3 linked regions of the Anolis sagrei genome follow. The protein of the gene in region 2 interacts with the protein of the main gene of each other region in a pairwise test. Links are inferred from orthologs where the notes say so. Each region holds a gene or a part of one and is shown on either strand. Other genes may lie near its edges. The genes, in order: ATOX1, protein FAM118A and MOB3C.

Evidence for each region.
Region 1: the proteins of protein FAM118A (region 2) and ATOX1 interact in binary tests that used the Homo sapiens proteins (3 or more experiments, as listed by UniProt). The two-hybrid records come from large-scale screens. The link is inferred for Anolis sagrei from reciprocal best matches to the Homo sapiens genes FAM118A and ATOX1.
Region 3: the proteins of protein FAM118A (region 2) and MOB3C interact in binary tests that used the Homo sapiens proteins (3 or more experiments, as listed by UniProt). The link is inferred for Anolis sagrei from reciprocal best matches to the Homo sapiens genes FAM118A and MOB3C.

What each region holds. Positions count from the first base shown.
Region 1 is NC_090022.1:84,269,054-84,279,595, forward strand, and holds the start of ATOX1 (copper transport protein ATOX1), read left to right. Parts: upstream 1-6,326; 5' UTR 6,327-6,441; coding exon 6,442-6,447; intron 6,448-10,542. UniProt on the Homo sapiens protein: Binds and deliver cytosolic copper to the copper ATPase proteins. May be important in cellular antioxidant defense.
Region 2 is NC_090025.1:100,453,217-100,463,923, forward strand, and holds the start of protein FAM118A, read left to right. Parts: upstream 1-6,455; 5' UTR 6,456-6,500; intron 6,501-8,066; exon of another isoform or gene 8,067-8,078; coding exon of another isoform or gene 8,079-8,219; intron 8,220-10,707.
Region 3 is NC_090024.1:177,747,890-177,758,705, forward strand, and holds the start of MOB3C (MOB kinase activator 3C), read left to right. Parts: upstream 1-6,746; 5' UTR 6,747-6,934; intron 6,935-10,816. UniProt on the Homo sapiens protein: May regulate the activity of kinases.

The sequences.
Region 1 (10,542 bases), on a different chromosome or scaffold from region 2:
ACCCAGTCCTTACAAATTTAATCAGAAGCAAGTCTACACTGAATTTAGTTATCTGAGAATGAAATTTATCAAAATCAGTGTGATATCTTTATAAAATGAATAGGGTCAAGGTGCATGGTATGTCTGTTAGACTTCTGTAAAAGGCAATATGCTGCCCAATGTGCGTATGAAATGTATGAAGAGATTTCTATGCTGGTTTTCATTTCAAATATGCCAAAGCACTCTGCAATATTACAGTGCCTGAAATCATAACATACAATAAAACTATGCAATAAAACAATGAGCATCCATAGAACAATAAACCAATAAAATAGTTCATTGAAGTCATTGGGGTAACTACAGGCCTGTAGCAGGATTTCGTTTCGGGGGGGGGGGGGGGGGGAGGCTGAATTTTTTTCAGGGGGGGTTTCGGGTGGGGGCTGAGTCTGAGTGAAAGAGGGTCTAGCCTAGCAAACCTAACATACAATCATTACACCAATACCCCCATGCATATGGGATATATTGAATAGGGTGATCAGATCATGATATGAATAAACATAACAGTTTAAATAATGCAGCAGTAAGGACTTTTCGTGAACCACCATCAGAATTGGGGGGGGGGCTGAAGCCCCCCGAGCCCCCCCCCCCCCCCCACCCCCCCCCCCCCGGCTACATGCCTGGGTAACTAGCAAGGTTAGTGATCAGAAAAATAAACACCTGGCAAAGCACAGGATGCAGAAAACTTCAAGACAAACTAGTTTATTTTATCATATGCTTTTACTAACTCCCTCCCAATATTGTTGGGCTGGAGAATCCAAAAAAAAAAATGGAATCTAGAAAAGCTTATTAGCTAGCCTTAAAAGGTGCCACTAGACTCCTCCTTTTTATACTAAAACAAACTAACATAGCTATCTCTCTGGAAATGGATGAAGAAATCTTCAGCTGGTGATTAAAATACTCTATATAGGAAGCACCCCACAGAGACATTATCCAACGGAAAGATCATTTAGCCTGGTGGGTGCCGCAACAGAGACATCCCTCCTCTATACTTTCAGCAAGTAAACTTCACAATGCTGTGGGGTACAGTGGCTCCTGCACTGAGACCCTCACCATAACCTGGTCCAAAGCTATTTAGAGATTCATAACCAATTTGAACTTTGTATTTAGAGACAGAGAAAAATTACTCTTCCTTTATCATTAAGCATCTGGAGGAGTCCCTGGTAGTGTAGTGGGTTAAACCCTTGTACCGGCAGGAGTGCTGACCAACAGGTCAGCGGTTCAAATCTGGGGAAAGTGAGTTGAGCTCCCTCTGTCAACTCCAGCTCCCCATGCAGGGACATAAGAGAAGCCTGCCACAAGGATGTTAAAACATCAAACACCCGGGCATCCCCTGGGCAATGCCCTGGCAGATGACCAATTCTCTCACATCAGAAGCAGCTTGCAGTTTCTCAAGTCGCTCCTGACACACACACACACACACACACACACACAATAAAATTCAAGCATCCTGAAATATAAAGACTCCGGCAAGCACAAGGGGTACTTAAAAGTGCCATCCATGCATTTGGTGGAGTTTATTCCTAAGTAAACATGCACAAGATAGATTGAAGGTAGTCTCATTATTCCTTTAAAAACCCATTTCTCAGTGCTTGAATATTCAGTAAACCTCTGATTGATAATTTCTGAACTACCTAGTAGCGGTGGTAACCCAAATCTGCCAGATCATTTTAGAGAATTCAGCCTAGTTTGGAGGGTAGGATCAAGCTCCCTTCCCATTCCAGGGTCCGTGGATTTTTCTATAAATTTTATCCTTTTTCCCACATCTAAGACCTGAAATGCCCTGACTGCAATCCACATCCTAACACATACAATAAATAAATCCAACTAAACCTGTTCAACTATATCTGTTCAACAGATATGCGTATATGGGAAGTATGTTCTTTTCTGTTAACCAAGCCTTATGCTCCATTAGGTATATTTCAAATTGAGCTTAATGCTTTGATCTTATGTACCAGTATGTCTTCTCAGAAATAATTCCCAGTGTGTTCAGCGGATCATATGCCTAGGTAAATAAGCCAGGGCCACCTCAACACAATTTGCTTCCCTGGGGAGATTCATAGTATCACACTACTGTGGCATCCAAGGCAGAAAATCACAAAAATGCTCTTTGGAAGTAAAACACTTAAAAACTGTAATTATGCATTTAAAAGGAAGAATTTGCTTACCTTTTCATCATCACCCAAAATCAAGGAAGCAAGCTGGATGTCTCAATCTACCTAATGCTGGGCCAGATTCAGGACTCCAGCTTAAGGACAGCTGATCGATGAAATGCTCTCATCAAGCCATTGCTGCAAGTCACTTTTGGTCGCTGCTGGTGTGAGAGAATCAGCTGTCTCCGTAGAAGTTGCCTGGGGGACACCCGGATGTCTTGCAATCCTGCAGGGAGGCTCCTCTCATGTCCCCCTCTCATGTCTAATATAATGCCAAGTTTTTAAACTTTGAGTGTGTTTGTGTGCATTTTTAATACATTACAACAGTACCCTTTGCTCGCTCCTGATACAATAAATAAATAACCAAACCATTTGTAGATTGTAACTTTTAACTAAGTGTCCTAAGGCAACACTACTCAGATATGACCAGTGCTAGTCCATGAATCATCTGCTGATGATTTGTAGTGAGTTTCCAGGAAATTATGGCTCTGCTTATCTGATGAATTAAGGACCAGGTCGCTGACAGAAAATGGAATTGGTTGAAAAGTGGAACTACAAGGAATTTTAGCTAGCAAATAAAAGATTAAACACTAGGTGGCGATAAGTCAATGGAGAGAGAAATAAAACCAATGCACCAATAATGCAGCAGAAGTGGTTGGAAGAGTAGACTAGGGGCCAAACGTGTTGCACAAGGCTATAATTTAGGTGGGTCAAAACAGCAGAACATCCAAAACTGAGTTGTCAAAAAGTGTGGGATGTTTGTAGAACAGGCATGGGCAAACTTCAGCTCTCCAGGAAAGACAGGAAGAGGCTGTTAGGAATTATGGGAGTTGAAGTCCAAAACACCTGGAGGTCTGAAGTTTGCTCATGCCTGTTGTAGAATCATTATAATGAATATGGTACCAGTCTCTGACACACCGGGGAGAAAGTTCACAGCCTGCCATATAAGACAGTTTAGGAAGAACTAACAGGACGGTGACTTGATTTTTTTTTTTTTTGGTCGTGTCAGGAGTGACTCCTGGCGTGAGAGAATTGGCCGTCTGCAAGGACGTTGCCCAGGGGACGCCCGGATGATTTGATGTTTTATCATCCTTGTGGGAGGCTTCTCTCATGTCCCCGCATGACGAGCTGGAGCTGATAAAGGGAGCTCATCCGCCTCTCCCCGGATTCGAACCTGCGACTGTCGATCTTCAGTCCTGCCGGCACAGGGGTTTAACCCACTGCGCCACCGGGGGGGCTCCATGGTGACTTGATGATACAGACAGACATAAGTTAAGGTATATATGACTGAAGTTACACTTAAAAATGTACCTGTTTCAACTTACATACAAATTCAACTTGAGAACAAATTGACAGAACCTGGGGACTACCTATCTGGGTTGACTTGTCCACAGGTCAATGTGAGTACTTTAACTTGACTCTTATCCAAAAAGGAACCATCCTTTTTATCTGAGTAGTGCCACAAGCTTAGTCCATCCCATGTAAACCTAAAAGAAGCACCAATTTGCTTCCTCCCATAGGGCCCTTCCAGACAGGCCCTATATCCCAGGATCTGATCCCAGGTTTTCTGCTTTAAACTGGATACAAGTCCATAATGCCAGATAATCTGGGTTAAACAGAAAATTTGGGATATAACGCATGTCTGGAAGGGCCCTTGTAACAAAATGTATAATTACAAAGTAGGTTGAAAAGGGTCAGTTGGTTAGTTAGCTGAAGTCAGTGAAGTTGTTAGTCAGTTAGCGGGAGTCAGTGAGGTAGTTTGCTGAAAGCAGCTGGAAAACTAGCTAGGGAAAAGCTAAAGTGGTTGACTGGTAGCAGGAAGCTAATGACAGTAGAGAGGTTTTAAAGGACCAAGTGGTCAGGATCTCTATGCCAGGCAAAAGATTATTAGAAGTCAGTTTTCATATGTTAATATAAAAGTTCTTTTGGAAAAGAGGAAAGGCTTAAAGGAAAGTCATGTTGAAACTCTGTTTTGTAACCAATAAGCATTTATACTTTTGAAACCAGCACGCTTTTGTCACAAGAACGATACAAATAAAACTGTTTCCTTTTAAGCAAAGTCTCTCTCAATCTAGGTTCTTGTGGGTTTTTTCGGGCTATAGAGCCATGTTCTAGAGGCATTTCTCCTGACGTTTCGCCTGCATCTATGGCAAGCATCCTCAATCTCTCACCACCAATTTAAGAAGACACAAAAGGTGGTAGAAAAATCAAACAACCTTTTATTCTTTGGTGGCATCTTTGCACAGGCTGGTAGCCGGACCCTTCCTGACCTTTTTACATTTTTGGTGAGATAAATAAATAAAAAGTCCCGCCACGCAACCAGTTTAAGTGCCTCACAGCCCTTATATGGAAGCTTGTTACTGTTGTGGGGCAAGCTGAAATCCCCACCAAAGGGATAGCCCGGCCCTCCATTTCACCTGGCAATGCTGTGTGACAGGGGTGTCTCTCACACACCCATTTCAGAATGGACCACCACCCCCCCCCCCAATATCTTACAACCACCACTTGCCATTACATTAAAAAATATCCAAGCTCTGGGTTCTATTACAATGAGAGAAGAAGAGAATTGATTAGTTGGATTCCATTATTCATTTATCTGCTCTCTTTTCCACCTGCACAGTCCTTTCTGACTTTAAGAGGCCAGACCTATCTAGTTTTTAAGAATACCATATTAATTATACAATATTACAGTATTTTATTATATAATATTAGTGCAGCATACATTTTAAAACTGGCTTTCATCTCACCCATTTTTCCCCCTCTTCCCAAGCCATACACATTTACAACCTGGCTTCAGACTACAAAAAAGGAGATTCCACCTGAACATGAGGAAGAACGTCCTGTGAGAGCTGTTCAGCAGTGGAACTCCCTGCCCCCGAGTGTGGTGGAGGCTCCTTCTTTGGAGGCTTTTAAACAGGCTGGAGGGCCATCTGTCTGGGGTCCTTTGAATGCGATTTTTCTGCATCTTAGCAGAATGGGGTTGGACTAGATGGCCCATGAGGTCTCTTCTAACTCTAGGATTCTAGTCCTCAAGAGGTGCAGCAGCACAACTGCTCCCAAGTGTATCTTGAGAGTGTATCTACACTGTAGAATAATGCAGTTTGACGCTACCTGAATTAGGAGCCGTAGTGCTGCAATGGGTTAAACCCTTGTGCCAGCAGGACTGCTGACCTGAAGGTTGGAGGTTCAAATTCACGCAACAGGAAGAGCTCCCGTCCATCAGCTCCAGCTTCCCATGCGGGGACGTGAGAGAAGCCTCCCACAGGATGGTAAAACATCCAAACTAGGGTGTAGAGTGAGCTCTCATCTGTCAGATCCAGCTTCCCATGCGGGGATATGGTAAAGCATCCAGGCCAGGGTGTAGAGTGAGCTCCTATCTGTCAGATCCAGCTTCCCATGCAGGGACATGAGAGAAGCCTCCCACAGAATGGTAAAGCATCCAGGCCAGGGTGTAGAGTGAGCTCCTATCTGTCAGATCCAGCTTCCCATGCGAGGACATGAGAGAAGCCTCCCACAGAATGGTAAAGCATCCAGGCCAGGGTGTAGAGTGAGCTCCTATCTGTCAGATCCAGCTTCCCATGCGGGGACATGAGAGAAGCCTCCCACAGAATGGTAAAGCATCCAGGCCAGGGTGTAGAGTGAGCTCCTATCTGTCAGCTCCAGCTATCCCATACGGGGACATGAGAGAAGTCTCCTACAGGATGGTAACATATCCGGGCATCCACTGGCCAACGTTAATTCTCTCACACCAGAAGCGACTTGCAGTTTCTCAAGTCGCTTCTGATACAATTTTTAAAAAACCACTTGAATTGCTGTAGAATCTTAAGATTTGTCGTTTGGTGAATCGCCAGCACTCTTGGGCAGAGAAGGCGAAAGGCCATGCAAAACGACAACTCCCAGGATGCCCTACAATTAAGTCCTGGCAGTTAAGCGATGACAAACTGCGTTTAGTCCTAAATGTCGATGCACCTTAAGTACAATGTTCCCCACGCGCCTCTGAGCATGTGCAGAGAGAATAGCGTGGCGCGTCACTCCCTGCCAACGGAATGGCTCCCCCTGGCGGCGCAAGGAAGGAAGGGCGCTTCTTAGCCCCCCCTCCTCCCGCGGTCGAAGGCTGAAATAGGCGGGGAGTGGGCGTGGCTAGCCAGCGGTGGGCGGGGCTTCCTTGGCCTTTCATTATTGCGGAGGAAGGTGGGGAAGAGGCTGCTTCTCCGTTCCGGTGACTGGCAGAAGGGAAGCAGCCGCAGCAGCCATGCCGGTGGGTGACTTCCAAAGGCGGCTCCAAGGGGCTGGGTTTGGGCCGGGAAAAGGGTCAGGGCAACAGCGGGGGAGCCAAGGATGGAGCAAGGGATCCACTCCCCCCCCCCCCAATCATTGCTACAACAACCTCCCCTTCCCTGCCCAAAAGAAAACGAGATCTGCTAAATCAGATCCTCAGGCCCAGGATGCATCTACACTACAGAATTAATGCAGTTTGACAGCACCTTAACTGCCACGGCTTAGTGCCACGGAATCATAAGAGCTGTAGTTTGGTGAGGCATCAGCACTCGTGGACAGAGAACTCTAATAGATCTTGCAAAACTACAAATTCTATGATTCTGTAGCATTCAATCATGACAGTTAAATTGGCTTGTTATTAATAACAGTGCCTGACTGCTGATATGGAAAATGAAGAATTCAAATATAGTCCCAAAGCCAATCCAGTTGAATGTTTTCACTACACAAGATGGATCTAAGACAGCGGTTCTCAACCTGTGGGTCCCCAGATGTTTTGGCCTTCAACTCCCAGAAATCCGAACAGCTGGCAAACTGGCTGGGATTTATGGGAGTTGTAGGCCAAAGCACCTGGAGACCCACAGGTTGAGAACCACTGGTTTAAGATGGTTCTCAACCAAACACCCTAATGTTTCAGTGGAGATCCTATCTGCAAGGGATGTGATAAAGGGATGATGTATAGCAGGCATGGGCAATTGGTAGGCTGTTAGGAATTGTGGGAGTTGAAGTCCAAAACACCTGGAGGGCCGAAGTTTACCCATGCCTGCTGTATAGTTTGAGAAAGGCTCTCTAGGATTTCACCCCATACGTTTTGAAGAGAAGTTTTGCAACCCTTTTGATTCAACTCATATAGAACGTGTTGCAGTAGTTTCAGTGTTGGAGTGCCACTCCAGAGACCAGGGTTCGATTCCTCACTTGGCCATCGAGACCCATTGAGTGACCTTGGCCAAGTCACACACTCTCAGCCTCAGAAACCCCATAATGGCTTTAGGGTCATCAGAAGTCAGCACTAACTGGAACGCACACAGGAACAACAAGCAGAGGAGCCTCACCCTTGTTGGCATATGGAATGAGATGTTTTGCTCCGCTATAGTGAAGATAAAACCATTCCTGATGACTGTTAAAACCCTTAATGATGACTGTTCAAATGGTGTATTTAGTTGTCCTTTGTAAAATTGTAGCTTAACTTCTGTTTTATTATTTTGTTTTGCTTTGGGTTTATATTGTGTGTGTGTGTGTGTGTGTGTGTGTGATTAAGTTGCAGCATTAAGCCAGCTCAAGTCGTTTTGGGAATGGTTGGCTGTTACTCACATGTTTATACTGCCCTAGTTTTTTGTGGATCAGTGCCCACTTTGTCAGGTTTGTGCCATGATAAATGTCTTAAGGTGCACAAAGACCTTGTTGTCTCCTTCTGTGTGGACTTTTTGGAACCCCTGAATGCAACCTGAGAGATGAAGAGGATCACTCAAGACCTGGCAAGACACACACACACACACACACACACACACACACACACACAGAGGCCCAGAAGAACTATCCAGTGAAGGCAAAGCCAGTTAAAGAGTTTGTTCCTTCCTGAGAAATAAAAGGTTTTGCTTCAAGACATCTCTCAGAAGTAACTTCAGCAGTACAGTGATTATGTCAGACAAACAGCTGTAGCCTGGCTTAAAAAGCTGTATGAACTTTAAGCCTGACCACAGTCCAGCGAGGGTGTTTGCCCACACAAGTGACCTTCTGGGCCTAAATGCAGTAAACATTGGGGAAATATCAGGGGTCTTTGGACTCCCAACCTCAGATTCCTCGAGCCACAATAGTGTTAATCAAGCTGATGGAGGAACGCAGGAATCCAAAAAAAAACCAAAAAAGTAACTTCTCCAAGCTCTGGCCCCAGTGATTAGTCGAAGGATTGGTCCCTTACTGTGCTATACAGTAAAGTCTCGCTTATACAATAAAACCGGCCAGCAGTATGTTGGATAAGCAAAAATGTTGGCTAATAAGGAAAGATTAAGGAAAAACCTATTAAACGTCAAATTACGTTATGATTTTACAAATTAAGCACTAAAACTTTTTTTACAACAAATTGACAGAAAAAGCAGTTCAATACATGGTAACATTATGTAGTAATTACTGTATTTACAAATTTAACACCAACCCATTGCAGTGTATTGAAACAACTGTGGATCCAGGTGGGAGTCAGATAGTGTTGGATAATACAGAATGTTGGATGAGCGAAGGTTGGATAAGTGAGACTCTACTGTATTTCTTTTAGGCAAAAAGAGTTCATGTGTGAGCAAGATTTGCCTGTGCTATAAGATCTTGCACATGCCTTTATCATTCTAGAACAAAAAATACAAAAGAGCCCCTTGCAGAACTTGACTGTTGACTTTAAGAGCAATAATAGAGGGGGAAAAAGACGTAAGGAGGCATCTACTGCTTAATGCAAAGATTGATCATTTCTCTCCTCCCTCCACCATCATCTAGAGAAGCTAGACATATCTGGCCTCACTAATAGGCAGGGTGAAGCAGCTGCCTCAAGCACTATATGTTAATGTATAGTTAGCAAACAAGTTCTTCTGTGTTCCCTAAGTTAGCCAGCTGCCCTCAAATGCAGTGTCCGATGTTGCCCTATCACCAGTGTTGCTGTAAGAGTCAGGGTTGTTGACTTACAACACTCAGATTCTCCCAGCCATGACTGCAGGTCCCATTGGCCATACTGGCTGGGAGATTCTGGGAGCTGAAGTAAAAAAAAAAAAACTTTTGCAAAATCTGGTAAAACTTAGCAGAGTGAGAAGAAGCCCTATCTTCTTGTCATGCATCAAGCAGACAAGAGTTCCCTTGCCTAGTTTCCAACAGACCTCACAACCTCTCAGGATGCCTGCCATGAATGTGGGTGAAAAGTCAGGAAAGAATGCTTCTGGAACATGGCCATACAGCCCAGAAAACTCACAGCGACCCAGCCCTGTCTTGTTCTCAAGCAACGAAATGTCTTGGGCTGGCCTTGAAACTGGAGGTGAACTAGACCTTTTGAAAGGTGGCTGGAGGCTGACATTTCTGCATCATGAGGCCTTATGTCCATTTCTGACTCCACCAACCACAACACATATTTGAATGTCTGGCTTGGATACCAGGCCAATTTCCAGCTTCGCTTCTGTAAATTGCGTCTTTAGTGGTACCAAGAAAAACCGGTTAGTCATTCAAAGACTGACTTTTTATTCCCATGCTGTTCTGTAAGCTGTAGCAACAGTGCACAGCAACACACAGCTCACTTGGGATTGGTCCATTTAGGAAGGATCCAGAATTTGCCACGTCTTATTAATCTCTGAGTGATTCATGGTTCACACAGGGAAAAGACAAAAGTATTACTAACCTTTCTAATGTAGATTTTTCCTAGTTAATAGATGGTGGTGAAAATTACTTGAGATCAAGTGTTAGTGGAGGTAAGACTAGGGAGATATAAATAAGCAGGTCATCATTACAGACACTGGTTCAGATACTGCATTTTTTTCTGAAACAGATTTTGTAGCCAGGTGGTTTTTTGAGAACATGTCCAATTTTATGTATTTATTTTTAAAATTCTGCTTTGTGTACCTGGAATAAGATTTAAGGAAACACAGAAAAGAAAGCAAAAGTGAAATAGAAAGCAAAAACAGAAAGAAGTGATCAGAAATGCTCTAATTTATCTGAAATATTGTTACACAGTCATGTTTAGGAAAAGTAAGAAGAACCAATGAAATTTGGGCAATACACCATCTATCATATAGAATCATAGAATAGAATCATAGAATCATAGAATCAAAGAGTTGGAAGAGACCTCATGGGCCATCCAGTCCAACCCCCTGCCAAGAAGCAGGAATATTGCATTCAAATCACCCCTGACAGATGGCCATCCAGCCTCTGTTTAAAAGCTTCCAAAGAAGGAGCCTCCACCACACTCCGGGGCAGAGAGTTCCACTGCTGAACGGCTCTCACAGTCAGGAAGTTCTTCCTCATGTTCAGATGGAATCTCCTCTCTTGTAGTTTGAAGCCATTGTTCCGCGTCCTAGTCTCCAGGGAAGCAGAAAACAAGCTTGCTCCCTCC
Region 2 (10,707 bases):
CTCTGTAGCTAACCTGTACGGTTCTGTTCTGTGCTTTAAAAATGTTTAAGACTATCAACTCACCCTCCGCATGTGAGGTTCACTCAGTGATACAGTTTTTGTCAGCAAGGAACCTGCCTGCTGCAGAAATTCATCGACAGATTTGTGAAGTGTACGGTGATACTGTTATGAGTGAAAGCAAAGTGCATAAGTGGGTACGACAATTCAAAGATGGCCGTGACAACGTCCATGATGACGACGACGTGAAAACGGCAGTGAACTCTTGGTTATCGGAGCCGGCGGCAAGTTTTTATGAAGAGGGTATTTTAAAATTGGTTCAGAGGTATGATAAATGTTTGAACAAACTTGGCAACTATGTCGAAAAATAGAGTGAAGTATGTACTTTCTGAAAATAAATTTACTTTTTTGAAATAAACTTTCGTTGTGTACTTATGTTCCAACTGACCTTACTTAAAAAATAACCCTCGTAATATAGTAGCAATTCTATCTTCCTGCCTGGCAGAAAGAAGGGGCTGGACTAGATGCCTTTGGGGTTCGCTTCCAACTGTCTGAGTCTTATAATCATAATGTATAATAGTTGTCTCCTGGAGTGACTGCAGGTCTATATTAAGCAACAAGATAAGTTGTAAAAACAAAAAGAAATGAAAATTACTGAATTAGAGAAGCAACTAACTTACATCAAAGATGCTCAGAGGAGGGACAATTTTCTCTTGATGATTTGTCAAGTATTAATAGTCAAATCAACTAATTGATTTGTAAAGTGTCACTAGTCAAATAATCAAAGAAGGTACGCAACCACAAAGCCAACCAACTAAGGGGAAGGTCAGGCTCTTCTGTTGTCTACAGCGAAGCTGTTGGATGGCTGCATTCCGCCCATGGGCAGGATGTTGTGCTGGCCTGCTCTATGGCAACGCCTGGCATTCCATAGAATCTTCTGCAAAATCTAGAAAATTCTTAAAGAGGACATATTTTGTCAGATGAGGAAAGATAAAACTGGGGATGTTTATCCCACTAGTTGGGAAGTTAAGTTTTTTTTAAAAAAAAATAGTCTCAATGAGGAGAATTTTAAAATTGTATTGATTTTAACCTTTGTAAATTACTCTGGGCACCACACTGGAAAAAAGGAAGGAGTATCATCAACACTGAAAATGGTAGTTCATGCATTGGTAACTTCAAGACTGGACTTCTGCAATGGACTCTACACTTGTACCAAGTTTGAAGACTCCAGCTGGTTCAAAACACGGCAGCCAGATTGGTTATGGGAACATAGAGGTGTGAGCATATTACACTGATCCTAAAGTCACCCCGCTAGCTGTCAATTAGTTTCTGGGCAAAGTACAAGGTGATGGCTTTGACCTTTAAAGCCCTACATGGTTTGGGTCCAATTAGCTAAAGGATCTCCCTCTCCCATATTATCCGCTACAAACACTTAGATCTTTTCTCAGGCAGGGGGAGGGGGCTACTCCAACCAGCCAGAACTCGACTGGCTACCGTCACCCACTGGACCTTTTTATCAACCGCCCGAAGACTGTGGACCGACCGGCCTGAAGAGCTCCGACAGCCAGATCCTGTGTCAGAATTTAAAAACTACCCAAAAATCTGTCTCTTCCACCAGGCCTACGCAGCCAGTTGAAAGCATGAACTTTAAACTCATGTCCTGTGTTTTGGTCTCTGTCCTGTGTGATTAATGTGCATTTTACAGAAATGCTTTGATACATATATTTTATGAAATTGCATTTCAACATGTGTGTTTGCAGAATTTTAATAGTATTTTTGTGTGTGTTTTGACTATGTTGTGACCTGCCTCGAGCCATGGGGAGAGGCGGGTAAGAAATAAAATTATTATGATTAACACAGTCTGCTCAGAGATCCCAAAAAGAGTGGTGGAGTCCTTGGATATTCCTGGTGAAAGATCAAGATGGAGCTGCCACTTCAGGCATGATTATTTAATGTAAGCATAATAGGAAAAATCAATCTCTGTCACACTATGTGCACAATTCAAATACATACGTCAGAAAAATAAAGTGGAGCACCTTTGAAGAGAGAAATTTGAGAACAGAAACAATCTATGGCTATGCATATAGTCTATGGTATTTTCCTGCATGTCTTCTTTGTGTATAGCTGCAATTCAACATCCATTCACTATAGTATAAAGATCTGAATACAGCTTAATGGTGTAACATTAGAAAATGTTGATCATTTCCGCTACCTTGGCAGCCACCTCTCCATCAAAGTCAACATCGACGCCGAAATACAACACCGCCTGAGCTCTGCAAGTGCAGCATTTTCCAGAATGAAGCAGAGAGTGTTTGAGGACCGGGACATCCGTAGGGAGACCAAGGTGCTTGTCTATAAAGCTATTGTCCTCCCAACCCTGCTCTATGCCTGTGAGACGTGGACTGTCTACAGACGTCACATGCAACTCCTGGAACGATTCCATCAGCGCTGCCTCCGGAAAATCCTGCAAATCTCCTGGGAAGACAAGCGGACAAACGTCAGTGTGCTGGAAGAAGCAAAGACCACCAGCATTGAAGCGATGGTCCTCCAACATCAACTCCGCTGGGCCGGCCACGTTGTCCGGATGCCTGACCACTGTCTCCCAAAGCAGTTGCTCTACTCTGAACTTAAGAACGGAAAATGGAACGTTGGTGGACAGGAAAAGAGATTTAAAGATGGGCTCAAAGCGGGAAAAAGAGGGAAGGGCAGCATGGCCAAGGAGAATGGCCGGCTGACAGCATTCCCCGGAGCTCCCGGGTGTGATACAAATATTGTGGATTAATAAAACAAACGAAAGATAATTCAGCTCCATTTAAATAGAGGTTTTGCAACTAAAGTTTCAAAGAATCGAAGGGAGAAAGGAGAAGGCAAAACAGTGGCCAGCGATCAAAGCAAACCAGATATTCAGAGGGAAGAAGCTGCTGAAGAAGGGAATTTAATCTAACAGTGATGTATTGACTATGATTCTGTGAAAAATGGTTGTTTTCTTTATAATGCAAAGTTAAGAAACAAATATTTGGGTCAGATCTCGACACTATTATATCTTGTATATTTTGTTTAAAAGGGTAATTTCCATAGACCAAAACATTAAAAGAATGCATTAATCATGGATTGTCTAAGTTGTATCAGGCAGCACAAAACTATGTTAGAACTATAGAAGCTTTTAAGGATTGTTTTAAACTGCAGCCACAGGGTTAGGAGTGCAGGCAGGGAGAGGAAATTACAGCCTTCCACCCTGTAGTAGAGAAACAGTAGTAGAATGGTGCTTTGCTGAAACCATAACAACGATTGTAGGACAAGTTATAATACAAATACTGCTTCAGCTTCCGGAAGCCATAGAAGGCTAAACAGGTCAGCTTGTTTTCTCACCCTTCTTGTTTTTTCTTTGTTTATTTCTCTTTAGGTCGATTAATGGAGTGTTGCTGGTTAAGTCCAAAACTCCCTCTGAGATAAGAGTGATTTGGCAGTGACTTATCAGTTTGTTGTCAGTATTCTTCTCTAATTGTGCTGCTTAATGATTAGCCAGTGAAGAGTCGTGGCTCCGGCTGCATCGCCATTTTCCTTTAAGGATTGTGTTGTTGTTGTTCATTCGTTCAGTCGTCTCCGACTCTTCGTGACCTCATGGACCAGCCCATGCCAGAGCTCCCTGTCGGCCGTCACCACCCCCAGCTCCTTCAAGGTCAGTCCAGTCACTTCAAGGATGCCATCCATCCATCTTGCCCTTGGTCGGCCCCTCTTCCTTTTACCTTCCACTTTCCCCAGCATAATTGTCTTCTCTAGGCTTTGTTGTCTCCTCATGATGTGGCCAAAGTACTTCAGCTTTGTCTCTAGTATACTTCCCTCCAATGAGCAGTCGGGCTTTGTTTCCTGGAGGATGGACTGGTTGGATCTTCTCGCAGTCCAAGGCACTCTCAGAACTTTCCTCCAACACCACAGTTCAAAAGCATTGATCTTCCTTCGCTCAGCCTTCCCTAAGGTCCAGCTCTCACATCCGTAGGTTACTACAGGGAATACCATGGCTTTGACTAGGCGGATCTTTGTTGCCAGTGTGATGTCTCTACTCTTTACTATTTTATCGAGATCATTGCTCTCCTCCCAAGAAGTAAGCGTCTTCTGATTTCCTGGCCACAGTCTGCATCTGCACTCATCTTTGCACCTAGAAATACAAAGTCTGTCATGGCCTCCACATTTTCTCCCTCTATTTTTGAGTTGTCAATAATTCTTGTTGCCATAATCTTGGGGTTTTTTTTTTTTTGACATTTAGCTGCAACCCAGCTTTTGCGCTTTCTTCTTTCACCTTGATTAGAAGGCTCCTCAGCTCCTCCTCGCTTTCGGCCATCAGGGTGGTGTCATCTTCATATCTGATGTTGTTAATGTTTCTTCCAGCAATTTTCACCCCAGCTTTGCATTCATCAAGCCCCGCACATTGCATGATGTGTTCTGCATACAAGTTAAAAAGGTTGGGTGAGAGTATGCAGCCTTGCCATACGCCTTTCCCAATCTTGAACCAGTCTGTTGTTCCGTGGTCAGTTCTGACTGTTGCTACTTGGTCCTTGTACAGATTCCTCAGGAGAGAGACAAGGTGGCTTGGTATGCCCATCCCACCAAGAACGTGCCACAATTTATTATGATCCACAGAGTCAAAGGCTTTAGAATAGTCAATGAAGCAGAAATAGATGTTTTTCTGAAACTCCCTGCCTTTCTCCATTATCCAGTCCATTAAGGATTGTATCTGAATGTTATCTCTGTGCTGACAAAGAACTTTGGAAAGCATTAGTGGTCATGGGGACACTGTGTGCCAAGTTTGGTCTTGTTCCGTCATTGATGAGGGTCACAGTGGTCTCAGAAAGTAAGTTAAGGTACTGCAAGTCCCATCATCCATAGTCTGTTCTCCCCCAAACCTCACCAGAATGTTGAGTTGGCCATGGGGACTCTCTGTGCCAAGTTTGGTCTTTATTGGTATTTGGATGAGTGTCGCTGTGGTTTCAGGAAGTGAGTGAAGATACTGCAAGTCCCATCATCCATCCTCCTCCAAACAGCATCAGGATGTAGAGTGGGTCATGGGGGTTCTGTGTGCCAAGTTTGGTCTTGATCAGACATTGGATGAGAGTCACAGTGTTTTCGGAAAGTGAGTGATGGTACTGCAAGTTCCATTATCCATCGTCCATCCTCCTCCAAACAGCACCAGGATGTAGAGTGGCTCATAGGGGCTCTGTGATCGGTCATTAGATGTGGATTGCAGCAGTCTTTGGAAGTGAGTGGAGGTACTGCAAGTCCCATCATCCATGGCCCATCCTCTTCCAAACAGCACAAGGATGTAGAGTGGGTCATGGGGGCTCTGTGTGCCAAGTTTGGTCTTGATCAATCATTGGATTAGGGTCGCAGTGGTTTCGGTAAGTGAGTGATGGTACTACATGCTTCTAAAGGACCAAGTAACCGATCAGCCGTTGGCAGGGTGGAAAACCTTTTTATCCCACCACTTGCCACCAGATTGCAACGGTTGGCCGGAACTCTAAGGAATAATGCTTCAAATGTATTCCCTAGCTCACACACACGCACCCGTTCCTTCTACTGTTATATTGCTCTCATCTGGTCACCAATGTAAACTAGATTGGATGACCCCTTTGGCCGTTGGTATCAATTTGAAGGAACAGAGTAAAGGACTTTGTCTTCTTAGGCTCCAACTGGACACCTGTCACAAAGCTCTATGTGTTTTTTTTAAGATATTACTGCCACCACTCAAATAGCTTTTGAGAATATAACTTGATGTTATGTGTGAGGTAAAGCTTAGAGTGCCACAGCCCTTTCCTTAACTCTCCCTAATGTGTCTGAGGCGAAAAGATGTTAGAATTCTACTGGAACAGGCTTAATGAAATGAATCACTGTGAGGACTTCTTGTAAAGTTGAACTAGAATAAAGTTTATTTAAATATATTAGAACAAACATCTGGATTCTTCTTTGAATTACGAAAGCATATATGGTCAGCACAGCACAATCTTCTTAAACAGTTACTAAGACTTAACAAGCTTGCTGAACTTCTCAACTGTGTATCTGTTCTTCGATGTGAGCGATTTCCCTCAGCGTATCTAGATCCCACTAGAATACTCTGATCTTTAAAGTGTATAACAACCAGTGTGGTTTCCTCTCACACCAGTCCACAAGCGGCTATTTGGCTCTCCAGGCCACTCTATAGCCACACCTGCCTTTCCAACACTCTCCCTCAGGAAATATTCCACTCACCCTCAAACTACCCTCTTCCCTCAGCTTGAAATTCAATTCCCTTAAAATCCCTTCTCTCTCTGTCTGATGTTCAATCACTTCTCTCTCTTCCAGAAGCTGCCTGCCTCCCTTTTACACTGACAGCTTCAGCTCCTCCCATCTGTCCTAGCCAATCCTGGGGCAGCTAAACTCTTCCCCTCTGCTGATCTGGCTTTCCTTGTATTTCCCTCACCAAGATGGAGGCCGGCTCACTGTCTCTAAAGGCTTTGGCTTCGGCCTACAAGGTATGATTCACTACAGTCCCATCATTCATGGTCCATCCTCCTCCAAACTGCAGTAGGATGTTGAACAGTTATTGGCGAGGGTCTCAGTGCTCTCAGGAAGTGAGTGAAGTTACTTCAAGTCCCATCATCCATATCCAAATTCTTCCAAACCGCACCAGGATGTAGAGTGGGTCATGTGGGCTCTCTGTGTGAATTATGGTCCTGATCTATCATTGTTGGCAGATGTAATGGTCTCAGAAAGGGAGTGCAGGTATGGCAAGTCCCATCATTCATGGTGCATCCTTCTCCAAACCGCACCAGGATGTACAGTGTGGCATGGAGTGCGTTGTAATGATTTTTTTTGGTTTTTTTGGCTTTTTTAGTCCCTTCTGCTGTGTTTTTCAGTGTTTTTATGAGTGGTGGTCACTCGTTGGCCTGAGAGATGTCTTGTGTCCAAATTTGGTGTCAATTCATCCAGTGGTTTTTGAGTTCTGTTAATCGCACAAACGAACATTACATTTTTATTTAGATAGATATTATTAGTAAAGCATTTTGTACCACCGATGACGCATCCAGAGCATACTTGCCCAAAATGACAAACTTTAAGTACTGATGGAGTTTCTCGGGCTTAACCTGGCACAATGTGAGTTGTAGTTGACCCACAACCTTATGCATTCTGTTCCACTAAAAAACTGACTGGGTTGTTGTAGGTTTTTTCGGGCTATATGGCCATGTTCTAGAGCAGGGGTCCACAAACCTTTTAAACAGAGGGCCAGGTCACTGTACCTCAAACTGTTGGAGGGCCGGATTATAATTTGAAAAAAAAAACATGCATGAATTCCTATGCACACTGCACATATCTTATTTGTAATGCAAAAACACTAAAACAATACAATAATTAACATGAAGAACAATTTTAATAAATATAAGCTTATTAATATTTCAATGGGAAGTGTGGGCCTGCTTTTGGCTGATGAGATAGGATTGTTGTTGTTGTTGTTCTTTCAAGTCGTTTCAGACTTAGGTTGACCCTGAGCGAGGGCCGGATAAATGACCTTGGAGGGCTGCATCTGGCCCCCGGGCCTTAGTTTGAGGACCCCTGTTCTAGAGCATTGTCTCCTGACGTTTCGCCTGCATCTATGGCAAGCATCCTCAGAGGTTGTGAGGTCTGTTGGAACTAGGAAAATGGGTTTATATATCTGTGGAAAGACCAGAGTGGGACAAAGGACTCTTGTCTGCTGGAGCTAGGTGTGAATGTTTCAAGTGACCACCTTGATTAGCATTTGATAGCCTGGCAGTCAGTTTGAACAGAAAAAAATATAAAGGAGTCTAGCAGTACTTTTGAGATTAAGGGAAAGACATCTCTAGTGTAAACATTTTTGAAAGCTTATGCTAGTAATGTCTTTCTCTGGGCCCTCTGGGTAGTGAGGTCTCTTCCAAATATCCTCGGGTACCCAAGCGAGCAGAAGAATAACAATCCAGGCAGCCAACCAATCGGGGCTTAGCTTCCGAGATGCGGCTGCCCGGATTGGTCAGCGACCCCCGCTTGACTGGGGCTGGCCAGCGGCGCGCGCAATTGGCCTGCTTTGGGACCTGAGGATGCTTTGGGCGTGCAGCGGCTCCTCGAGACAGACAGGAGGCTCTCTCTCACACTGTCGCCAGCCTCGGAGGAAGAGGAGGAGTTGCGGTCCTCTCGCTGGCTGGAGCCGGCCGAGGAAGAGCAGCCGCCAGCGGGGCCAGGTAAAGGGAGGCGGGCGGAAGAAGGAAGGAAGGAAGGAAGGAAGGAAGGAAGGAGGGAAGGAAGGGAGCCAGCGCTCTCGATCTGATCTGCAATCCAGGCAGGAAGGGAGGCTTTGCAGGATTTGACCCATTTCTCAGGCTAAGCTGGAGGCCGTGTCCGTTGAGCTTCTCCTGCCCTTTCCGTCCTTGGGGAGAGGCAAAAACCCCATTGCTTTGGTCCCAGAGAGCCTCCTTCCTTTCCCTTCCTTTCCTTTCCTTTCTCTATTCCCCTTTCCTTTTTCCTTTCCTTTCCTTTCTCGATTCCTTTTTCCTTTCCTTTCCTTACCCATACCTTTACCTTAACATTAGGTAAAGGTAAAGGTAGTCCCTTGACATTAAGTCCAGTCATGTCTGACTCTGGAGTGTGGTGCTCATCTCCATTTCTAAGCCGAAGAGCCAGCGTTGTCCGTAGACACCTCCAAGGTCATGTGGCCAGCATGACTGCATGGAGCGCCGTTACCTTCCCGCCGGAGCAGTACCTATTGATCTACTCACATCTGCATGTTTTCAAACTGCTAGGTTGGCAGAAGCTAGGGCTGACAGCGGAAGCTCACGCCGCTCCCCGGAATCGAACCTGCGACCTTTCGATCAACAAGCTCAGCAGCTCAGTGCTTTAACCCACTGCGCCACCAGGGGCTCCATTAACATTAAGCATTAACATTAATACTTAACATTGAGCATTCTCAATTAGCAGCCCATTAATCCAGTGTTATTCAACCTGGGGGTCGGGACCCCTTCGGGGGTCGTAAGGGGGTGTCAGAGGGTCATCAAAGCCCATCAGAAAACAAAAGTATTTTCTGTTAGTCAAGGGGGTTCTATGTGGGAAATCTGGCCCAATTCTATCATTGGTGGCGTTGAGATTGCTCTTTGATTGTAGATGAACTATAAATCCCAGGAACTACAACTCCGAAAAGTCAAGGTGTATTTCCCCCGAACTCCACCAGTATTTATATTTGGGTATATTGAGTATTCATGCCAAGTTTGGTCCTGATCCATCCTTGTTTGAGTCCACAGTACTCTCTGGAGGTAGGTGAACGACAACTCCAAAACTCAAGGTCAATGCCCACCAAACCCTTCCAATATTTTCTGTTGGTCATGGGAGTTCTGTGTGCCAAGTGTGGTTCAATTCCATTGTTTGTGGAGTTCAAAATGCTCTTTGATTGTAGGTGAACTATAAATCCCAGCAACAACAACTCCCAAATTACAAAATCAATTTTTGAGTGATGGTCACTCCTTTGGTTACTAGGTGTCTTGTGTACAAATTTGGCGGCAATTCGTCAAGTGGATTTTGAGTTATGATGTCACTCAAAACAAACAGACCACACACACACACACACACACACACATATATTCTATATATATATACACACATATATATTCTATATATTTTCTATAACAAAGAGAGGAGAAATACTGCCCTCTGACTTTTAAGTCTGGTCTTCACATCTTCTTGCCGTGGGCCTTATATCCCAGGAACTGATCCCAGGTTTTCTGCTTTGATCTTGATTATATGAAGCCCCTTTCACAAAATCCCACATTTTCTGCTTTGGACTGGAATATATGGCAGTGTGGACTCCTGCAACCCAGTTCAAAGCAGATATTGTGGGATATGTGGCTGTGTGGAAGGGCCCAGGGTTAATATATCTTGGTGTAATTGCTATTGTTTGTCTTCAATTTGCTTCTAACCTATAGTGACACCATTACAGGGTTTTACTGGCGGAGTATTTCTGGCAGCATCTGTCCCTGTTGAATTTCTGCCTTTGATTTTCTGGGGAATGATAGATAACATAGCCATACCAAAAGGTATACACATATTGTTGAGCCAGGGCAGTGAATAGTTTGTTAGTAATATGCATGAAACTCGGTAAGAAAAAATATCTGTAGTAAGCTTATTTGTGTTGCAGAATAATTACGGGCAGTTCTTCCTTGTTATATTTATTATTTATTATTTATTAACTTTATTTGTACCCCGCTAACATCTCCCGAAGGACTCGATGCAGCTTACAAGGCCAAGGCCTCAATAAAACAACAGTATAACAATACACATACCCCATAAAGCAAATCAAAATATTAAAATATTAAAGCAATAGACAGTAAACAGTAAAAACAATACACCATAACACAGTAAAACTAAGGCCGGGCCAAGTATAATGGGTACAGATTAAAAGTGCTGAGTATGCCGAGTGAAATATAAGGATTTTTGGGTAAGTGCCATGTGCGGACAATCTTAAATCTCTAATAAAGTGCTTCTGGGATGTGTTGCTGGTGTTTCCTATTCTGGAAATGCACACCGGAATAGCCAGGTCTTCAAGCTCTTCCTAAAGACTGCCAACATTGGGGCTTGTCTGATGTCCTTGGGGAGGGCGTTCCAGAGTCGGGGGGCCACCACAGAGAAGGCCCTGTCCCTCGTCCCCACCAACCGCTCTTGCGACGCAGGTGGGATCGTGAG
Region 3 (10,816 bases), on a different chromosome or scaffold from region 2:
ACTGTATCGTGCTTTCTATCTCTTCTACTAAAGGACGTCATTTCCTCCTGTTAGCCATCTCCTCAATAACTATTTGTCTGTAGATGGAGAGTGTATAGTCTCTATCAACTGCATCCATCAATCTATGGCCAGATACAGAACCATGATATCATCTTAAAGAACCTCTGGAAGATCAAGAATCCTTGCTTATTTTGCATCTAGCTATAGGTGCACAGCCAAAAGATATGCTAATATGCCCCCACTCTCTGCTAAATAGCCCTCAATCTGTGGCTGAGATCAGATGAAAAACTCCCTCCAGGGCACATAGAAGGCTGGGCAACTTGAAAGATGCTGAACAGACTGCACTCTCGTACCACGAGATGCAGAGCCAATCTTAAGAAATGGGGCTACAAAGCGGAATCCACAACCTGCAAGTGTGGAGAAGAGCAAACCACAGACCACTTATTACAATGCAATCTGAGCCCTCCCACAATGTAGGACCTTCTCACAGTGACACCAGAGACACTCAAAGTGGCTAGCTTCTGGTCAAAGGGAATCTAGTATAATGCCAAGTTTTTAACTCTGTTGGTGTTCTTTTTAAAATACATTATAACTGTTCCCTCAATTCACTTCTGACACAATAAATAAATAAATAGCTGGGAATGGGGAGCATAAGAGGAAAAGTGAGTCTCAAATAGGTGGAAAGTGTTGTGTGAGGAGTGTAGTGAAGTCCTCCCACATCATCAACCATTTTGAACTTGAATATTTATATGTCACGAACAGAATTTAAGCCAATAGTTGGAACACACCATGGTTGTACAATAAGACTTTGCTCTTAGCTTGGGGTCTGAGAGCTACTTTCTACTAAATTTGCTCCTTATTACAGTGAAGAGTTTTTGAGGGCACAGATGAAATAAAGTCATGTTCTTAGAAAGCCACATAAGCAATTCATGGTAGCTGCTGCCAACTTTATCAGTGAAATGATTGTTCCACTCTAGAACTTCAAAGGAGTTAACCAAGATGCTTAGGCTACATTAGAAATAACTTTCAGCACTTGGGCTTGTTCCTACAACCAAGAGCAAATTTGCTGCCTCAGAAGGCAAACATCACAGCAAGGATTCACCATGTGGAATTTAGAAGTGGTTCAGATATACTCAGAAGTGACAGAGAGGTAGTTTTCCAAAGCAATGTATGCAGTGGAGCAAATTCTATTTAATTAATAATATGGTTGCCATTATTTCAAGCAATTTCTGACTCAAACTCCATGTCCTGACTTTTTATGTTCATATTAGCATGAGGTTTCTTGCTTATACATTAGTTCTTGGTCAAAGGGAACAAAGTCATGGCAGAAAGTAAGGCTATGTTATTTTATTCATTCCTTTACTATCCAACTGTTCTTCTAATGCAGAATCAATTGTGGTTGCAACATGAATTAAAGCAAAATGTGATAAAACCCTGCTCAGTTATATTATTGAAGGACCATTAACCTACTATATTAAGACCAAGCACTGAATCAAAACAATTTAAAATAAACAACAAGAAAGGGAAACACTATAATTCCCCATATTAAAAGACACTTCCAGAGCAACTATGTAATGGCCCATAGCTGTCTGAATAATAGGATACTTGTACTCCAGAGAAGGGCAAGCAGGCAGAAGGCCAACCACATCATCCATGAAAGATGTTCCACAACACCCCAGCTTTGTACCTGAACAGATGCTTCTCAGTCACAGATGATCAGAATATTAAACACAGCCTCTTTCGGGACCAAAATGCACACACTGCAAGGCAATAACAGATCAGATTTGCTTGATTGCTGCTTTCCCCCAGTTAAACATCCTCGTCAGTAATAAACTTCAGCATAAAATATGCCTGGCTAGTTGCTTTTCATCAGAAACTTCCCAAACCTATTCTATTCTATTCCCCTGCATGATTCCATATAGACAGATAGACAAACACACAGATGAACCCTGGGAAGGATTTCGAAGTTCTGAAATCAAAAGATAGGAGGAACAGTCAACATCATCCTATTGATATTTCATTATTCTAGGTGTAAGAACATTATGTAAAGAAGCGGCTTTTGAGCAAAGTTTGCACATTGTCACCACAGTAATGTAATTTGATACAAAAAGAATAGCTGTGTTCATACAATGAAAACGGATTATTTCTATACTTCATTCATTGTCTTCAGTCACTTTTTTGCTCCCTCTTCTATTTTCCTTTTCTCTTTGGTGGAATGATAGCACCTAGGACGGATTGCTTGGATCAGGCAAGTTAGCTTTACATCTATGAGATTAGCTATATTGAGGGAAGAACCAGACTGTCCTGAAAACAAATAGGAGTCTTAAAGTTTAGGGCTTTGTAGATAAGATCTTGCACATTGAATTCTAGCCAGGCTGATAACTTCAGCGTCACTGGATATGTGCATGTCATGCCTTCCAGTATCAGTTAACAAGAACACAAGTGTTTCCTGCACAAGCTGTGGCTTTCTTAATTCATTCTGGGGTGGTCCTTCACAAAACACATGACAGCATCCAGTTCAAAGACATCTAAAGAGGAAAATAAGTCATTATGATGCAACTCATGATTCTTTGGTGCCCTTTCTGGTGCTGTCTCTTAAATCTGTATGACTGGTAGAATTTACTTTCAGGTCTGCTTTATCATTGTTCCCTGTAGTATTTCCCATAGTTGTCTGCTTACAAGAGCTCATGAGTAATACTTCCTCATAATTTGCTCAATCTGTGCCAAATGTGACAGCAGCAGTATTAAGTGACACCGAAAGGCTTTCCAAATTTTGCTCTTGGCAGCTTGTGTAGTAAGAGGAGATGTTTTCAGGCATTTCCTGGACAAATTGTCATGGCTGCATTAACTTGGATCTACATAGAAAGACTGGAAGTCTACCCTTTCAGATCTTTCAGTGAGTTCAACCAATATATAGGGCAGAAACAAGACAAAAACTGATTTTGGAGAAGGGATAGCTAGTTTTCTGTCCATCACAAGAAAATGAATGAGGGTTTTTTTCATATTGTATACTAGGGACCCCATGGAGAAGCACTTCTCTATTTCTGTGTTATCTAAGGAAATAAACTATTTTATGTCACTCCTGTGGATGTGCAGCTGTAGGGCATTTACCTTACAATCATTTATTTACCAGGCATATTGTTTTCTATTATTGTAAATATAGCAGGGGCTTGCACTGTATGGTCCTTATGGTTTCTTCAGATTCTGAGTCTGTAAAGCGTTTTATACTTTCTTATAGCACTTCAGTGGGGGTAATTTTTTATTTTATTTCTTTTAGCAATCCTGATATTAGGTTCTTGTGGGTTTTTTCAGGGTATAGAGCCATGTTCTAGAGGCATTTCTCCTGGCATTTCGCCTGCATCTATGGCAAGCATCCTCAGAGGTAGGATGCTCAGAGGAAAAATATCAGGAAAAATCCTGATATTTTTCATGAAGGGTGATCTATAAATACTGTAAATAAATGAATGAATGAATGAATGAATGAAATGGCTGACACTCATTGATAGATTTGCTATGTTTGTATCCTGTCCTGATAGCCAATGAGACAAATTGGTCAAGAAAGTAACCCATGGCAACTGTAATAAAGGTATAAGGTTATATAGGAAAATTGTTCTTTTCCCTGTAAACTCAAAATTGATCCAGAATAAATTTTCAGGATTTCTTAAAAAAATACTCTACTAATTTAGAGCGACAGAGGATCAGTTACTTGAGAAAAAAGTTATCTTGCAGAAGGGTACAGGTTTGTGACAAGCAGCAAACCAGCAAACTCGAGACATTAGTGTCCCTGTATGGTATCTGCTCATCCATTGCTTTAAAAAGGCAGTGAAGAATGACAAATTCTTTTGGTACACTTCTTCCTCTCTTGTGTCTCAAACTGCTTGATTTGTAGTGTCAGCATGGGCTGGTTAAGAATGCAAGTACAAGCATGGAGACCTTTTCCATGTATGTTTGTGGTTTTTGACTTCTGCTTTTTTTCTTTTAAAACAAGTGTTGTTTATTTTTTAATGTCTTGGACTAAGAAAATATCATTATGGCTGGGCAAAAGATGACAAAATTGGCTTGAATACCCCAAAGACACTGGATCTTGTCTGATCTTGGAAAGTAAGCAACATCAGATCTGGATAGTAAAAGAGATCACTAGGGAATACCAGATGCCTTAGGCTATATTTTGTTGTAAGCCACCCCTAGTCCCTTTTGGGAGAGGGGGTGAGATACAAATAAAGATTATTATTATTATTATTATTATTATTTGATACATAAAAAATAGTACACACACATTGATCACACATTGGACACTTCTCAAGTGTCTAGGTCTGTGTGATGTATTGGTGAATAATGTGTGCAGATCCTAGTAGGGTGGCCTTTTGCAGCTGACAGATGGCAATTTTGTCAGTGCCAATTATTATTAAGTACAGGCCAAGGTCTTTAGGCAATGCACCCAGTGTGCTGATCACCACTGGGAGAAGAAGCCCCCAATGGCGCAGTGGGTTATACCCCTGTGCCAGCAGGACTGAAGACTAACAGGTTGCAGGTTCAAATCTGGGGAAAGCACAGATCAGCTCCCTCTATCAGCTCCAGCTCCTTATGTGGGGACATGAGAGAAGACTCCCACAATGATGGTAACACACCAAAACATCCGGGCAGACAGCCAATTCTCTCACACCAGAAGTGACTTGCAGTTCCACAAGTCACTCCTGACAAAAAAAAAAAAGCCCACTGGGGCCACCTTGACTGGCTTGTGCCAGAGTCTTTGGCGTTCTATCTTTAAATCCTTATATCGTGTAAGCTTTTCTAGTTGCTTCTTGTCAATCATCATCATCATCATTTCAGATCAAGACAATGCCAGATCACATTTGAGTATACACTGCCTAAGAAATTCCTATGAAATTCACAGTTCGACAGATGATTTGGAAGGCACATACACATTCTCTGTTTAACCTTAGCTGGTTAACAGTGGGATGAGAAGCCCTCTTTCCTCCAAAGCATTTTCATTAACAGCAGGACACAGGGCTGAGACATCACTTCTCTCAAATTGCCCCTATGTCAATTCCCTGACTAAAACGGCCTTCATGAAATGATTCCTCTGAGTGTACTTCTGGGCAAGAGTTTGAATTATTGGCAGTAAAAAAAGCACTGTGCAGCTGTTCAATCTTTTCCACCTTAACACAATTTTGTTTGAGAGTATGTGTGGGTGGAAAGACAGGAAACATTGAACAAGTGGTGAAGAAATGTATGAGAGGGTTTCAAATAGAAGAAGAAAGATTTGTGAATATCCTCTCTAGGATATTCTGTAAAATTTCACAATAAAGGCCTCATTTGGAAGTACCCAAAAGGTGGAAACCATACTATCATATGGGGTCTGAGCTCTGCCACATGCATAATGGAGGACCTTCTTACAACAACACCAAAGGTATTCCAAGTGGCCAGCTTCTGGTAAAAGGAAATTTAGTATAATGCCAAGTTTTTAACTTTGTTTGTGGTTTTTCCTATACATTATAAATGTAATCTCATTTTGCTTCTGATGCTATATATATATAGTTTTTCTGCCTAATCTCTAACATGCCACTCCCATGACACTGTTCTCTTTTCCACCACGAAAGCAGTCCTCTTATCTTCTGAAACAGCTTAACTTTTGGTCAGAATATCTTATTGCTTTAGAGATGCACAACTGTAATTTAGAGACCTCAACGATTTATTGGAAATATGGGCAGGCAGCCTATATCTTTTGGACCTTGTTCATATCTTCTCTATTTGCCTCTTCTACTTTTTGTTCTTCTTACCCTTTTTCTGGCCTTTATAACTGCATTTTAAAAATCAAGTGAAAATATATAGGATAAAAGAGAGAAAGACAAATGTTGATTTTAAAGTAGCCGCAAAGTTGTTATAAGGGTACATTGTATTAGATATAATTCAGTGAATAGTACCGGAATGAGCCCCCGGTGGTGCAGTGGGTTAAACCGCTGAGCTGCTGAGCTTGTTGACTGAAAGCTCACAGGTTTGAATCCGGGGAGCGGCGTGAGCTTCTGCTGTCAGCCCCAGCTTCTGCCAACCTAGCAGTTCAAAAACATGCAAATGTGAGTAGATCAATAGGTACTGCTCTGGCAGGACGGTAACGATGCTCCATGCAATCATGCTGGCCACATCTGCATATCTAAGGTTGTTAATGTTTCTTCCAGCAATTTTAACCCCAACCTTGCATTCGTCAAGCCCCGCACATTTCATGATGTATTCTGCATACAAGTTGAATAGGTTGAGTGAGAGTATACAACCTTGCCGTAGGCCTTTCCCAATCTTGAACCAGTCTGTTGTTCCATGGTCAAACCCATTTAAACCATGGTTTAGACCCATTGCGCCACCGGGGGCTCCAACCATTAGTTAGAAACACTACAACGAGCTTACGGGCTAAATCCCATAACTGAAACTTGCAAAGAGTGAGAAGAAGAATGGCAGCAACCGGGATGGATTTTTAATGTTTTCGTCTGGAATTTCCCACGCGTGCAACCTGATCTCAAAGTCCGTCTTCAACTGGAGCCACGAGAAACGAAAATGTAGCGGATCTGAGCGAGTGGGGGGGCTGGGTTTGGGGAAAACCCAGCGCGGGAGTTTCCCAAGGCTGACTTTCCCAAGGCTCCTCTTCCTTCCCCAGCCTTTGGGGCGACCAAGGCAGGAGCGCCACAAGGGGAAGGTGGGAGGGAAAGCAGGCAGTGGGCGAGGAAAGGCAGCCCTCCTCCTCCCCCCCCCCCCTCTAGACCCAGTCAGGATGTGACATCACTGGTGGGGCAGAGCGAGAGAGAAGAAGGCAGGGAGTTTCTTTCATGAAAACCCCAGCGAAGGGCTTGTCTTGTGGAGCAACTTGAAGCCCTCGAGCTCCTGGTCGCGCCTTCTCAGTTCCACCTTGGCTGGAGGAACCCGGCTCTTGCACCGTTTCTACAAGGTAACAAGCTTTGATTCCTATTAGCTGGGAGTTCAAAGTGGTCGGGTTTTTTGTTTGTTTCTTTTGCCTTTTCTCCCCCAAACGGGAACGCGAAAGCGCCTCCAAACTCAGAGTAAAAGTCTTTCTGGGTTTGCTCAGCCTTGTGGTCCGGTGAACAAGATGATCCCTTTTCACGTCTTGGATTTCTCACCGTGTCACCCTTTGTGGTCTCAAAGGGGCGCGATTTGTGGTCGAGGGGCATTTTAGGCAGGCGATTGAGCTCCGGAAAGGTGTTTGCTAATATTTGTGGCGTCCACATGCTGCTGGGAATCAACAAATGACTTTTAAATCAAATGTTTACTGGGGAGAGAAAGAAAGAGAATGAGAGAGAGAGAGAAGGGAAAAAATCTAGAGGAAGTTTGCCAGCGCTATTAGGTCTTGTTGGTGTTGGGTGGCCGCCAGTTGCCACTTCGCAACCCGCCAAGGAAACTACAAACACTCAGTGTCCGATCATGCTTGTAGTAGGATTGAATCATCTCATAATTGGGTGTACTGAAGGCTGAAGCCTCAATGTTTGCGACAGATTATAATCCCCAGTTAGAATTATACTCAAGGGAGAGGAGTGTGAGTTCCAATTCCCTGATACCAGAACGTTGAAAAATTACTTTTTTGAAATTCTACAATACATACATATGCTTCCATTCTGACCACTGGCCCTGTCAGCTGTAAGACTGTGGAACTTGTTGCCTCTTACAAGGAACTTTCCCAGGCTCTGCCTAATGATGTTCAAAGTTTCCAAACCATTTAAAAGAGAACTGATGACTTACTAAAGTTGTGACAAATCCTCCCGATCAAGACACACATTGTTTTTGAGTAGGTGTACATAGGTTGTACTAAAGCAGAACTGATTATATGCAGGACATAGTTTGCAGCCTGCCCTGAAGCATTGTCAATGGACTATTTCAATAAAGCACTCGTAATCCTCAGGGACTGGGGCGACCAATATGATCTTGTCTTCTAACATATCTGAGAATTTAGACCAATCTGCCTTTCTGAGGCCTCATAGTTGGGAACAATTGGCATACTATCAACCAATGCTGTGTGTTTTGCATTGGTAGTCCCACTGCACAATGCTGTCACTCACACATAAGACAAATAAGACATCTCCCACTGTTGTAGGATGGTGGGAGCTTACTATCATGAATAGTTTGTGCAATCGTTTGTGCAGTTCAGCCAAAGAGAGGGCAGCCTCTCCATTTTTATCCTCCTGAGCATAGCCCCATACATGGCTATGGCTGTTAAAGTCACCAGTTGTTACTGCCCTTTGGTGCCTATCAAAGTTCTCAGGAGAGAAGAAACAAAACTCTTCATTTGGGGGCTTGTACATAGAGGTAATCATAATATTATTAAGATCTACTGTTATAACCTCTGTATTGTTTTCTTCAGTGTTATGGGCACTGCTGACGTGGAGGCCTGGTTTTACAAAGACAGAACTTCCATATTGCGCATGTAGTCTTTACATCACTAAGGTCATTCCTGGAACTTTTGGTCATTTCTGTTGTTTATCCCTATGTGTTTCTTGGACACACAGCACGTCACATTTCTTATCTCTGAACAGTTGTAAAGCAGTTGTTCTTTGGCAGCTGACATACCTTTGATGTTGATTGAGATTATTGTCATAGTTGGTCCTGAAAAGGTCAATTGGTTTGTTTGGTTGCATGCTGCAAGTTGCTTCTGGTGTGAGGGAATCAGGTGTCTATAAAGATGTTGCCCAGGGGATGCCCAGATGTGTTACAATCCAACAGGGAGGCTTTTCTCATGTCCTCCATTGACAATGATGAAGTAGCTTCCTGCTTTTTCATTTGGGCTACTTCAGTTGAGCCAGGGTTTCTTTATCCAGGGCATACCCTTTCCACATACTAACTTTATGACTCAAGAATCCAGCATGGTTTAATGCAGTGGTTCTCAACCTGTGAGTCCTCAGGTGTTTTGGCCTATAAGTCCCAGAAATCCCAGCCAGTTGGGATTTCTGGGAGTTGAAGGCCAAAACATCTGGGGAACCACTGGTTTAGAGGTTTGAGTATTGGAAGCTCTGAAGACCAAGGTTTGAATTCCCACTCAGACATGAAAGCCTCTGGCCTCTGGCCAGTCTCACTTGTTCAACTTCAGAGAAAGGCAGTGACAAATGTCTTCTGAACAAATCTGGCCAAGAAAATGCTATGACGAGGTTGTCTTCACACTGCAATAAGTCAGAAATGACTTGAAGGCACATAATAAAGGTTACAGAGACGTGTCATGGACCATGTGCAGAATGTCTTAACTAGAGGAAGCACAGCCTAGACCTCTCTATTATATCCATTATATCAATAGCAAGCCGTGGAGGCCGTGACAGACTTTGTATTTCTAGGTGCAAAGATTACTGCAGATGCAGACTGTGGCCAGGAAATCAGAAGACGCTTACTTCTTGGGAGGAGAGCAATGTCCAGTCTCGATAAAATAGTAAAGAGTAGAGACATCAGACTGGCAACAAAGATCCGCCTAGTCAAAGCCATGGTATTCCCTGTAGTCACCTACGGATGTGAGAGCTGGACCTTAGGGAAGGCTGAGCGAAGGAAGATCGATGCTTTTGAGCTGTGGTGTTGGAGGAAAGTTCTGAGAGTGCCTTGGACTGCGAGAAGATCCAACCAGTCCATCCTCCAGGAAATAAAGCCCGACTGCTCACTGGAGGGAAAGATACTAGAGACAAAGCTGAAGTACTTTGGCCACATCATGAGGAGACAGGAAAGCCTAGAGAAGACAATTATGCTGGGGAAAGTGGAAGGCAAAAGGAAGAGGGGCCGACCAAGGGCAAGATGGATGGATGGCATCCTTGAAGTGACTGGACTGACCTTGAGGGAGCTGGGGGTGGTAACGGCCGACAGGGAGCTCTGGCGTAGGCTGGTCCATGAGGTCACGAAGAGTCGGAGACGACTGAACGAATGAACACATCAATAGCAAGAGCTCCTTGGGCAAAGAGCATCTTACTAGGCAGGTTTCAGTTCCTTCATTGAGACATACAGAGGATTATCCAGGTTGAGTAGAAGAGGGCCATTAAGAGCTGAGTGTGAATCACAGCAGAGTTTGTTTACCACTGCTTGGCACTCTTTCAAAGGAGGATTTCTTTGTGTTAGTTTGTTGCCTGTCATCTTATAATACTTTACCTTGGAATAATTCTTGAAGCAGGCTGATGCATTGTTAATTAATTGTGTGTGTGTGTGTGTCCTGAAACATGCTGTTTGAATTGCCTGTCTCCCTAAACTGATACTGCCCAAACCGACCTTTTAAATGTGAACCCTATGGGGTACTTTGCCAAGGGGAAGGGAGCCACGGTAATTTCCAAATAACTGCTCACTACAAATGATTTTATATGCTATGGGTCACATCTCTTGCTGCAGCTTGTTAAAAGCACAAGTTGTCATTAATAATCCTTATAGCATTTTTCAGTGCAGAAAGTGCTTTGCAGTTCTTCTTTCGCACAACCATGCAAATAAATTCAGTGAGTTTACTGCCAGATAATGTATAGGAGAAGAATTAGAAGTATGGGAAATAAACTTGAGTCTTCTCACCTCCAAACCCACACATTAGCCATACCAGGGATCAAAGACTTTAATATACACATTGCTATACTCATATAGTTTGCCACACATCCCTGCAACAATAGTAGTAGTTTCTGTTTGTGTGTTATCCTAGTTAGGTAACTTTACATAGGCAAGAGCAGGGCCATTGTGCAAGTCTAAACTCATCCCTCAGCCAACACTGATCATCATTGTAAAACTAGTGCAAATATTTGTCAACAGCAAGATTTGGGCTAGAGATGGGAAGGGTCATGAATACCTTCTCCACCCGCAAGCACTTCATTGTCAC